3 linked regions of the Coturnix japonica genome follow. The protein of the gene in region 2 purifies or fractionates together with the protein of the main gene of each other region. This does not show direct contact. Links are inferred from orthologs where the notes say so. Each region holds a gene or a part of one and is shown on either strand. Other genes may lie near its edges. The genes, in order: IKBKB, TRAF3IP2 and CD40.

The links.
Region 1: the proteins of TRAF3IP2 (region 2) and IKBKB purify together in Homo sapiens (affinity purification with western blotting; 3 studies listed by BioGRID, with this or other methods). This does not show direct contact. The link is inferred for Coturnix japonica from reciprocal best matches to the Homo sapiens genes TRAF3IP2 and IKBKB.
Region 3: the proteins of TRAF3IP2 (region 2) and CD40 purify together in Homo sapiens (affinity purification with western blotting, with the first as the bait; 3 studies listed by BioGRID). This does not show direct contact. The link is inferred for Coturnix japonica from reciprocal best matches to the Homo sapiens genes TRAF3IP2 and CD40.

Annotation. Positions count from the first base shown.
Region 1 is NC_029537.1:4,085,736-4,089,848, forward strand, and holds the start of IKBKB (inhibitor of nuclear factor kappa-B kinase subunit beta), read left to right. Parts: upstream 1-1,311; 5' UTR 1,312-1,373; coding exon 1,374-1,478; intron 1,479-1,557; coding exon 1,558-1,652; intron 1,653-2,785; coding exon 2,786-2,903; intron 2,904-4,113.
Region 2 is NC_029518.1:60,097,914-60,101,556, forward strand, and holds part of TRAF3IP2 (adapter protein CIKS), read left to right. Parts: intron 1-2,436; 5' UTR 2,437-2,507; coding exon 2,508-2,523; intron 2,524-2,742; coding exon 2,743-3,462; intron 3,463-3,643. UniProt on the Homo sapiens protein: E3 ubiquitin ligase that catalyzes 'Lys-63'-linked polyubiquitination of target protein, enhancing protein-protein interaction and cell signaling. Transfers ubiquitin from E2 ubiquitin-conjugating enzyme UBE2V1-UBE2N to substrate protein.
Region 3 is NC_029535.1:9,595,236-9,599,335, forward strand, and holds the start of CD40 (tumor necrosis factor receptor superfamily member 5), read left to right. Parts: upstream 1-1,285; 5' UTR 1,286-1,630; coding exon 1,631-1,823; intron 1,824-2,007; coding exon 2,008-2,133; intron 2,134-2,222; coding exon 2,223-2,366; intron 2,367-2,512; coding exon 2,513-2,612; intron 2,613-3,284; coding exon 3,285-3,346; intron 3,347-3,429; coding exon 3,430-3,528; intron 3,529-3,703; coding exon 3,704-3,729; intron 3,730-3,977; coding exon 3,978-4,100.

The sequences.
Region 1 (4,113 bases), on a different chromosome or scaffold from region 2:
CACAGAGACCTTGTGTCACAGTGTGCCTCAGTGTTGCTGGAATCAACTCCCAAGTTAATTAATATCAATGAAGAAATGTTAGGACCTCTCATTTTCAGGACGTAAGTGCACAGAATCCTCTGTCAGCAAACATGCTGAGGGTCATTTTGCACGTTGGCAAAGAGGAAACTTTATCTTGAATGTTTAAGTCTTTTCTGTATGGAAACCTGTGTCAAGGTTGTCATATGCATCTGCACGTGTGAACATAAGTGCCATACATCTGCTTTAGGAACAAATGGGACTGTGTTGAGAAAGGTTGGTTGGGCTCTGCTGAACAAACGGGCTAATTTCTATCTCTTTTAAAGATGATTTTTTTTTTGCTATTGGAGTTCTAAAGTTCCTAATGAAGTAATGGCTTCCAGTGAGGATTTCAGAAGTTGTTATTTCCCAGCTTTTTGAGCTTAAGGTCAGCTGTAGCTTTCTAGAGAGTGGTGTGGGTGCTCTGTGTGCTTCTTACTGTGCTTTAGGAAAGCAAGCAGTAACAGCACCTTCCCCATTCAGCAGTGTCCGCTGCTTTACCTCCCAGCTGATCCTGCATCAGGACAGGGTTTTTTTAGAGGCTGCTAAGTTAGGATCCCTACGTACTGTTCAGCTGCTCAGGTGCTGCCTGAAGCCTCTGCTTCATCCCCGGTTGTGTTTAAGAGCTGTTTGGGTGTGGTACTCAGGGATACGATTTAGTGTAGGGTTTTTAGAGTTAGAGTACTATGGTTATAGGGTACTATGGTTATAGAGTACTATGGTTATAGGGTACTATGGTTATAGTGTACTATGGTTATAGAGTACTATGGTTATAGGGTACTATGGTTATAGGGTACTGTGGTTATAGGGTACTGGTTAGGCTACGGTTGGACTTGATGATCTTCAAAGTCTTTTCCAACCTGGGTAATTCTATGATTCTATGATTCTTTCAGTTCCACACCAGGTGCAAAATGCAGGAAGTGTAAAAGGCTTCAGAAACGTGTTTTCTTGCTTTATGTTGCCTGGATGTTGTGTTGAGGGATATGATTTAACTGGGAAGTATTGGTGATGGTTGGACCGGATGATCTTCTAGGTCTTTTCCAACCTTGATAATTCCGTGATTCTGTGGTAAGTACCACATCATTTTTACAATACATACCAACCACGGAAGGCGGCCCTACTGCAGCCTGAGTCCTACGTCTCAGAGTTTCTTCATTGGAAAAGCTGAATTTATTGCTCCTTATCGCCTTTGTAGCCCTCACTTGACGGAAGGCGGTCGCGGCCCCTTTAAGGCCGCCTCGTACCACGTGCCTCCGGAGCCGGAAGTGCCGGCGGAGACGGCCCAGGCCCCGCGGAGGCGCCGCGCTCCGTCCGCCATGAGCCGCCCGCCGGCTCTGCAGGCGCAGACCTGCGGCCCCTGGGAGATGAAGGAGCGCCTCGGTACCGGCGGCTTCGGCAACGTCATCCGCTGGCACAACAAGGTAGGAGGCGGCCCGTCCCGTCCCGCTCCGCCGGGCCCGGCCCGACCGGCGCTCAGCCGACCCCGCGCTGTGTCCGCAGGAGACCGGCGAGCAGGTGGCCATCAAGCAGTGCCGGCAGGAGCTGAGCCCGAGGAACCGGGAGCGCTGGTCCCTGGAGATACAGATCATGAAGAGGTGAGGCAGATAAATAGAGATCGTGAAGAGGTGAGGGACATAGAGATCGTGAGGAGGTGATGGGGAGCAGCGGGGCCTGGCGCTGCGGGACGGGCCGAGTGGAGCCCAACGCCCCCGCGCTGCCGGGCCCGGCCCTGATGGGCGCGTTATAGAATGACAGAATGACTCGGGTTGGCAGGGACCTCAAGGATCATGTAGTTCCAAACCCCCCTGCCTGGCAGGGCCACCGAACATACACATTTACTAGATCAGGTTGCCCAGGAGACCCCATAGATCCCCATAGAGACACCATAGACCCCATAGAGACTCCATAGATCAGGTTGCCCATGGCCCCGTCCAACCTGGTCTTGAACACCTCCAAGGACGGAGCATCCACAACCTCCCTGGGCAGCCTGTTCCAGGGCCTAACCACGCTCCTATGAAGAACTTCCCCCTAACATCCAACCTAAATCTTCCCTCTTTTAACTTAAAACCATTTCCCCTAGTCCTGCTATTGTCAGCCCTTTCCAAGAGTTTACTCCCCTCCTGGGAGTAAGTTCCCTTCAGGTATTGAAAGGCTGCAATGAGGTCACCCCGCAACCTTCTCTTCTCCAGGCTGAACAAACCCAACTCCCTCAGCCTGTCCTCACAGGGGCATAGGCGTTATAGTAATGGCTGCACTGAGGTACGGGCAGGAGGGGCGGCTGGTCCGGCATGGAGCGAGGACGTGCTGAAGGTCTTTGTTATTCCTGAGAGCTTCGGGTCTAAGGCTTTCCTCGTAGCAGCTCTGCTGTGTTAGCATCTGCACAGGGCTGTGCTGTGGGGTTCTGGGTTGGTTAACACGGGGTGTTGGGTTGATTAGCTCTTGCTAAACAACTTGCTGGGGGGTGATACCGGCCCGGCGGGGCATTGAGCTCGTCCTGTAGCTCCATGTCACACCTGTGATACATCTGTGGCACACATAGGGTGTGCAAAGAGCTGGAATGAGTTTGTAGGCCTGTGAGGGATGGATAAATTGCAGGCTGTTAGAGCTGACTTTCAGTTTCTAAAAGCATTAATGGCCTTATAGGACTTAATGTGACAACCATGACTGTGTGAGGCTGTGCAGGTGTGGTTCTGGTGCGGTGTCCATTTGCCTTATTTCTGTTTCTCAGGCTGAACCATCCCAATGTGGTGGCTGCCCGTGATGTTCCTGAGGGAATGCAGAAGCTTGCACCGAATGATTTGCCATTGCTGGCCATGGAGTACTGCCAGGGTGGGGACCTCCGCAAGGTGAGCTCACCAGGTGCTCCTGTGAGGTGCCAGTCATTCACTCACTGTCCTCTCCTTCCCAGTGAGATGGGGGAGAGAACTGAAAGACAAAAGTGGGACTCGGTGGGTTGAGATAAAAACTATTTACTGAGTCAGAGAATAGATCATTATTATGACAAATAAGCCTGGAAGAGCCGGCCCTCAGCCCCTCATATCCTGTTCACCATCAGTTTGAGTCAGCTGTCCTAATCCTGTTCCCTCCTAGTAACTTGGGCCTTTGCTGAGAATGGCCCTTATGCTGTGCAGTACTGCTTAGCAGCAGCTATAAACGTTGGTGTGTATCAGCATTGTTTTTCTTATAGAACCAATACACGGTGTCATGCCCTGCACTCTGAAGAACGCAGTACTGTCCCAGCTGCAGCTGAGACAGGTGGTGGTGGTGAAAGGTTAAAAGCTGGATTAGCTTCCCAGCGGAATGGAACCTAGGGGCTTCTTTTTAGGAGTTTCTCTTTAAAGCATATTTTCATGTTCTGATGCTTCCTAATTCTTTATGTGATACCAAGAGGATTTTACACGTTAGTCCTTGATAAAGTTCTGAAAATCTCTAGTGCTTTCTGAGGCTTTTGACTTTTATTTGTCTGCAAGTAACAATGCAGCAATTTTGCATGTAGAAGATGAGAGCATGTGTGAAGGATATGCAACAGGATTTGGAGCACGTCCAAGACCATTGTAGCTCAAGGTGCAGGCCCTGTCTGTAATAGGAAAAAAATACAGTTACTAGTGCTGCTTCTTATCTTACTGCTTTTTTAAACCTTCGCTATAACCTGCCCATAGATGAGACCTGTAACTTACAGCTGACTTTGCTATAACCTGCCCATAGATGAGACCTGTAACTTACAGCTGACAGTGCTATAACCTGCCCATAGATGAGACCTGTAACTTACAGCTGACAGTGGAGCTGGTATTGCTAGGCTCCAGGGGAAATGCTTATGAAGGACCCAGCAAAGTTGCAGTAACACTGACTTTCCACTCTCCCTTTCTCATCCTATGGATGCACTGAGGCTTGAAGCCCTAATTATTGCTAGGAGAGGTCCCAGCTCCATGGTTTTGTCTGTAAAAAAACAAACAAATAAAAAAAAACTTAATTGTTCATGCCTGAACATCTTGTGTTTTGAGAATACGTGGGACTGCGATCCTTCAATGGGATATAGGGTGGAGAAGCTGTCATTTT
Region 2 (3,643 bases):
ATCCCATCTGATGCCTGCTGAAGTCAACAGAGAGACCTCTGTTTGCTTCCCCAAGCTCTGGACTGAGTTCTTGGTTTCTCTGTAGAAAATCTGTTCTTGACATGGAGCTAAACCAGCAGCTGTTAATGTAGAGGATCTGGATTCAATGTGGTTTCCAGCATTTCGATCTTACTGTTTCAGAGACCATTGAAGAAATGCCGCTGTGTATCAGGCCTTACAGATTTGCTCCTAAAATGCCGTGTTGGGTGTTTGTGAAGAATTCTACCTGCTGGTAAGGTGCTCAGACAAAACGTGTTGCTCAAGGGGAGGAGCCATGCCCAGGTGCCTGCAGCTGAGCCTGCCCTTTCTGAAGAGAAACCAGCTCATTGGAGCTGCTCTATGATGAGGGAGTAAGAGTGTGCAGTATGATTTGTGCCAGCTGAGCACAGGGCCCTCCTTTCTGTCAGAGCAGCAGCATGTTCGCTGTGCTGCTGTAGATAATGGCTGCTCAGAGGACTTGTCTACATGGGAAATGTTGCCAACATCATTATGTTGCTATAATTATCCCAGGAAAACTCTCCCTGTGGATGTTCTTATAATGTAAGATGTGTATCTGGAATCTGTGGTAGATCTTCTGCATAGGTGGGTTTTATGTTACACAAAGGAAGAATATTTACATTGCGGCCCAGCAGCTGCAAAGCACAGTTTTTATCCTACTTCCCGGTAAATGTTACACTGAGTTTGCTATGCCAGAGGTACTTTCAGGGGGGAACGCACATCACTTCATCAGATCAGCACAAACATAAAGCCTTGCTCTCGCCCTGTGGGACTGGGCATGTTCTTTGCTTTTGTAAGATATGGCTGTGGGAGCCAGGGTAGAGGCTGGGGCACTGCCTTGTGCCTCCCTGTGATCCTGTTCAATTGTTTTTAATGCTGCGGCTGTCTGAGTATGTTCTTCATTTGAACTTTCTGTTCAAGCTGCTGTGTGACTGAAGCTGAATCCTTGAATCACTGAGATCTCCTCAAACATGCTGTGATTTTAACTTTCCTTACCAGGCTTTCAAGTCAGATGCTCTTGTCAAACACTGTCATTTCCGTTGCTGAGTGCTTAGACCATTCTTCAGAATGCTCCTATTGGGATGTTGGCTTTTTCCATGCAGTAGAGGGAAAACAGCTGGGGTCATGAGTCCCAGACTTGTTTCTCTGTACCCCATGTCAGGGGGTAGCACCTGGTGGGAGCAAGTTAATCTCCACCCCAATACCAGAGGATGAAGATGGCTGCAGAGATCAGCATGTTGACATAAAATGTGCTGATCTGTTTCTGTGCCAAAGTCTGTGAATCAAAGGCTTAGGTATGGGAAGCTGCATCAGCGCGTTGCTCTGCTGCGCTTTGGCCTCGGCTGCCTCCAGCTCAGGGTGAAGGACCAGGGGTGTTTTCCACTTCCTGCTTTAGTTCAGTGACCGTGTGCTTGAGCCTTCTTCCCTCTGTGATACCCGGTGACATACAGATATGGAAACTGATAGTGAGTGAACGTTGTGCCTTAAGCTTCTGCTGGTTCACCTGTGAGCTTCAGGAGTGTCACAGAGCCCTTTCTGAGCAGCCCAGCAGGCTGGGTAGGACAGAGAACACTGAAGAGAAGTTAAACTATACTTGTGCTTTCCAAAGGTTTTCTTTTACATCCAGCAGTGTTTTGTTTCAACATCAATGGGATGCTGTGTGTGAGCCTGCAGTAAGGCTTGTACTTCTCGTTCCAGTGGGTGAGTACGGCAAGAGCACATCACTCACCCGTCATTGCTGCTGTCATTCTAAGCAAAGGTGGAGTAGAGACGTCTGTCATCAGGGACTGTTTGGCTGGGCCAAACTTACTAACAGTATCCCCAAGGGCAGGGAGGATTTTGATGTCTGGAGCCCAAAGTAATTCTGAAGAATGGGGAAAAAAAAAAATAATCCAAACAGTAACCAAAGTCTCTAAATTGTCTTATAATTCTCAATAGTTTGAAATAATAACCGTGTTATAATAGAATGGATTAACTGGTTTGATAAAATAAACAGCATCGCTTAGAAGCCAGATGTGGATTTTGAATTGCTCAGGTATGTGTGCAGTGAAGTTCAGATCCAAGGGATCACTACAAAGCTATTATTATTAGAAGGTTTGGAGTAAAATGTGGCACGTGGTTGTATTCCTTGGAATATGCCTGAGCCAAATCTCCATACTTAAACAGCCTTCTCTTTTTTCAGGTGCAGAAATTACCTATGAGAGACAGTTCATGTGCTTCTTTTTCCCCTTGTCTCAGCAGGAACAGTAAGATTCAGAAATCCCATAAAACTGTCTGTTCTACAAAATGTGATTTCCAGAGCTCTAACCGGTATTTCTTTTCCAGTCCCTGAGATAGAGTTATTTTGGGATTATTGCCTGTGTGAAACTGTACCATCTTCACATTTCTCTTGTTTTCCAGTTTGCTGGAAAATTCTGACCTTGCAGCACGGCAGTTGACTCCCATTTCTCGTGTGACTACAAAACTGGGAAATGGCCTCTGTGTCAGGTTAGTCCTGATTCTAACACTGTGCTGCCTGCACTCCAGCCAACCCTCTCCTTTATTGCTTTGCCAAAAATTTCTACCTGTCCTTCTAAGAAGAACTTAACGTGAATATGAAGAATGCATACTGCTCTTCAGTATTCCAACTGACCGTCACTGAGCAGTGACTGGTAATAGGCACTTGTCTTTCTGGAGGTCAATCTATAGCGTTTCTTGTCTTTTCAGGCACTTTTGTGAGCCGAAGCATACCGGTGGAAGTGGATGAATCCATGCTGTATTCCCCATTTCCTGAACCTGTCTTGGAAGAGGCTTCACAGCCTTCTGTGGAGAATGTGGAGGATGAGGAGTGCCAGAGACCACGTGCCAATGCAGCACATCTCTGCAGAGCACTGGCGCATCACCAGCTGGCCATGGGGCCGGACAGCAGGCCATGGTCAGAATATACCGATCCTGATGGATGTGGGCGCTTCTGTTCTCCCAGTGAATCATTACTGGAAGTAGTTCGTTCCAAGATGCATCTTTTAACTATGGACAAATCAGACATGCAGCCAGGACCGCTGCTTTCAGCTGATACCAACTCCAGTAAGTCAGAGCGGAGCTCGCATGATGCTCCTGAGGACTCTTTGGAGGAGAACAACAAAGGGAGTTCATGGTCACAGCAGCCTTCAGGAGACAAACTCCCAGCAGAGCTGGCAACTGAGGACACAGGTTACAACTCCCAGTCCCAAGACATCATGGGTGTCAGGCACCTGGAGCTCCCCTTACCACTTGTGTCCATGGTGAACCCCCAGGACCTCCCAGGACCACTGATCTCCAGAGAGTTTTTTGGACCGGAGCCTCAGCAGGACCCCAGGTGCCAGCACTTGCCCCATCCCAACCCCTCTGCACAAGCCCATGGCTTCTGTGGGCACCGTTATATGGCAGAGCAGCAACTGCACGGCCCATGTAAGTAGCACCGCTCACCATGGAGGAGGTTTTCTGGAGGCACTGCGGGCATCATACACTGAGCTGGCATATTCCTACTGTATTTCCTTTGCAGCATGCAATTATTAACGAGTAAACAATTATTTGCAGTCCATTTCATATTTCTGGGTTTTAGGGTTATTCAGCCAGACTGTCTGATGCA
Region 3 (4,100 bases), on a different chromosome or scaffold from region 2:
CGTCTGTGTATGGGGAAGTGTCTGACGGGGACGGGATGGGAAGTTCCACGGGGATTGCTGCGGGATGCAGGGCAGGCAGCCCGGCTGTGTGCAGCCTCAGGGCCCTGCTGTGCTTCTGCCTCTTCCCGTACTGAGCTGATGTGATTCTGGGAACTCTAAGCAGATGCCGGAGCCCATGGGGAGCACGGAAGGGCCCTGTGGACTTCTTAAAAGTGAAGTGAAACCTCGCACTTCTGCATGAGGAAGGAGCTGTCGGGGCCAGATCAAACATCTCCTCTGCTTCCCAGGGCAGATTCCTGCCTGCGGCCGCTCCTCCTTCACCCAGGAAGCAGCCGGTTACACGCTGACATCCACCCGTAGCTCGGCCGGGCCGGTCGCACCGTGCGGGGGAGCTGCGGGCACAGCCCCGGCCCCGCACGGCTCTCGGTTACGCTCTGAAGCTCGGGAAAGTCCCGGGGCGGCGGGTGCTGCCGGTGGGGACTTTGTCTCGGGACGTTCAGCCCGGTGACTGCAGGATGGGCGGCCCCTGCGGCCCCTTCCTGGGCGGAAACGGGTCGAGGCGTTAATATCGGCTGCCCGGCTCCGCACGGCTCGGTTCGATTCGGGTCGGGTCGGATGGGCGCGGCTCGGGCCATGGGGCGGCTCGGTCTGGGGCTGCTGTGCGCGCTGCTCCTGAACGTAAGTGCGGCGTCCCGCGGGGTGGGAGCGGGGCCGGGCCGGGGCTGCAACGCTGCGCTCCGTGATCACGGCCCGAAACGGGACCGGGATGCGGCGATGCTTTGCGGGGTGGGGGGGGAGCGCCCGGCGCCGTCGGGCCGCTGAGCTCCGGTCCCGGGGCCGCCGTCCAGCGCTGTGCCGGGAAGGGCTCGGGGAGCCCCTGGCTGGGTGCCCGGAGCACGGTTCCCACTCCCGGGCGTTGAGCTTCGTCGTTCCTCGTTCTCGTGGCTGAGATTCCCCCAGCAGGGGCTCGGCGGTCCCTGCCCTTCCAGCTCCATGTGCCTCCCCTTGTCCCACAATCCCCATCACGGGCGGTTGGGGCGCAGCTGTGGATTTGAGGTGCGGAGAGGGCGACGTGGTCCCTGTCAGCAGCAATCCCAGCCTGTGTCGAGGCAAAGCATGGGACAGGCATGGGGCGTGTTGTCCCTGCTGGAGGGGCTGAGCTCTGTTATGGGGTCTTGTGGGTTCGATGCAAGGCCGGGCCCTGGGGGAAGCAGGGGCAGGGTGGGGTGTCTGAGCTCACTTTTGGTTCCCCTTCCTGCCTGAAGTCACAGACACATGGTGGGGGGGGGGGTCAGTTCCCCTCTACAGAGTCAGGCATCCCAAGCTAGTGCCCCTTCACACCAGGACTGCCCACAGGACCGTGCTGGGGCTGACCAAGAGCAGACGCAGCAGTCTGTGTGGGTTTGATGCTCCTGCCCAGGAGGCACAGCTGGCACCGCTCCCCCTGCCCAGCACTGCTGCACTGGTGGCGCTGGCAGTCACCCAAAGTGAAGAGCAATCACCACCCCGTAGGAAACCTGGGAAAGCACGGGGCTGCCCTACAGGAGCCACTGCCATCCCACTTCAAAGAGAGAGCTGGCAGTGCCAGGCAGCGCAGGCAGATCTGCTGCGGTCTGTGGTTAGCCCAGGCATGGGAAATGTGGTGCAAGGAAAACCTCACCTTGGGGCACGACTCGGAGGATGTGCAGCTGTGCAGGAGTGTGGCAGAGCAGCATCTCTTCATGGGTCTCATCTCTTCCAGTGTGGGCAGCCTGGTGATGCTGTGAATTGCTCTGACAAGCAGTACGAGCACAAGGGCAGATGCTGCAACCGATGCCAGCCAGGTACAGAAATGCCTTCTCCTCCCTGAGGTCCTGCACCGTGGCTGCTGGGGCTGCATTTGGCAGTTGAACATCATGCCACAGTGGCCTCAACAGCTACAGCCCCTGGTGCTCCCACGTCCTGCTGTCAGATCTGCTGCCTGTGGGGGAAAGCTCCCTTTTCCCCCCTCACCAGCCCGTCTTGCAGGAAAGAAGCTGGTCTCTGAATGCAACGACACGGAAAACTCTGTCTGCACACCCTGTGAGAATGGACACTACCAGCAGGGCTGGACTAAGGAGAGGCACTGCACGCCCCATGACATCTGTGAGGACAGTAAGTGCTCCATGTCCCCAGCGTGTGGGGCTGCAGGGGCTGCACTCCATCCAGGCTCACTCTCACTTTGTCCCCACTCCCTTTCACAGACGCTGGCCTCATCGTGAAGAGACATGGAAACACAACACACAACACCGTGTGCCAGTGCCGGGCTGGCATGCACTGCTCTGATGCCAGCTGCCAGACCTGCGTGGAGAATGAGCCCTGCAAGCAGGGCTTTGGCTTTGTGGCAGGTGAGACCCAGCCACCCCTATCCCTGCCATGGGCCCCATGTGCTGGCGGCATCAACCTCAGGTGCTCCCAGAGATGGAGGCTTCCTCTGCATGGGGCCCTACCAGAGCTTTGTGAGGGCTGCATTGCAACCTCCACTCCCTTCCAGCCATGGCCGAAGCCCAGATGACCTCACCGTGTGAGCCCTGTGCAGAAGGCACCTTCTCCAATGTATCTTCTAAAACCGAGCCGTGCCACCTCTGGACAAGGTCAGTGTCAGCCACTCCCCACGCTCCATCCCTGTTCCTCTCTGCACATTCCCTGCTGTCACCTCTCGTGGCACTGGGACGAGGCACTGGGATGGCCTGTGCAGGGCAGGAGTGAGGGCAGCAGGGTGCAGTGAGACCCAGGTCACTGAGCTGGTGGCAGTTGTTGTGGTGTTCCCTCAGTTCATGGACTGCCAGACCCCGGGGGGGTTTCCAGGCCCAGCTCACTCCTGTCTGTAAAAAGTGGCTGAAAAGTTCCTCATGTTCCCTGGTAGAAATGTGAGCGTTACCTCTGGACTGTATTAGTCTCGCCTCAGCTGCCAGCCATTGGATTTCACTTTGCTCCTATCTATGGCCAGAAATTACCTCCCCACTGAGCCACTTTGTGGCATGCTATCGAGCCATCTCTGAGCTGTTCTGCAGTAGCTGAAGTGCCCCAGCCCCAGTATCCCCCTCCTGTGCCTCAACCCAAGGCACATGCCCACCTCTTTCAGTTCCAATGGCTTCTGACAGGGCCCTGGCATCTCCATCCCCATCCCACCCCAGGAGCCCCATTGCTGTGCCCTGACCATGAGCTCCCAGGGCCCAGGGGCTGCTGACTGCATGCTCTTGGCTCCCAGCCCCATGGCTGTGGGATTCCCACTGTGATGACACAGTCTCATTCTTTGCCTGCAGCTGCGAGGAAAAGGGGCTCGTGGTGAAAGTGAAAGGGACAAACACTTCAGATGTGATCTGTGGTAAGTGCTCCATACCCTGCCTGGTGCAGAGCTGGGATGGGCTGGAGTTCTGTGCAGCCCACTGAGTCCCCATCCCCTGGCAGAGTCGAGCCGGCGCTCATCGCTGTCAGTGCTGATCCCCATCACAGCTGCTGTTGTCACCTGCCTGGTGGGCATCTGCATCTACTGCCTGGTGCACACAGGTGAGGAGCCAAGTGGGGAAGGCAGCAGCAGTTCTACCAGAAACGGGGAGGCCCTTCAGGGGGTGTCACTGTGGCACCCAGCCCTTCCAGCTCTGAGCTCAGAGCTTGTTGCAGGGCTGGGGGCCAGGCAGGGCAGGACCTGCTCCAACAGCAGCCTTCTCTCCTTTCCCTGCAGACCTCAGGCGCCGTGGGCCGAAACAGGTGAGTTGGTTCCAGCCGTGGGTTGGGGTCCCTACTGGCACGGTAGGGATGTGTGGGCTGCAGAACGGGGGCTATCTTAGGGCTGTTCAATGGGGACGGGGCCACCAGGAACCCACACAGGGAACCCACATGGGGTGAGGCTCCTGTGCTGCAGTGGGAGTGAGTGCAGGAGGATCCCATGGAGGGATGCGGCTGCGGGCAGGGGCTGTGACTGCTGCTCCTGGCCCTGACCTCCTGCCCGCACACAGACTGAGGCCGAGATGCCCAGAGAGCTGGAGATGCAGCAGCCCGAGGAGGTGGACTTCCCAGTGCAGGAGACTCTGCTGGGAGGGCAGCCCGTGACACAGGAGGACGGCAAGGAGAGCCGCATC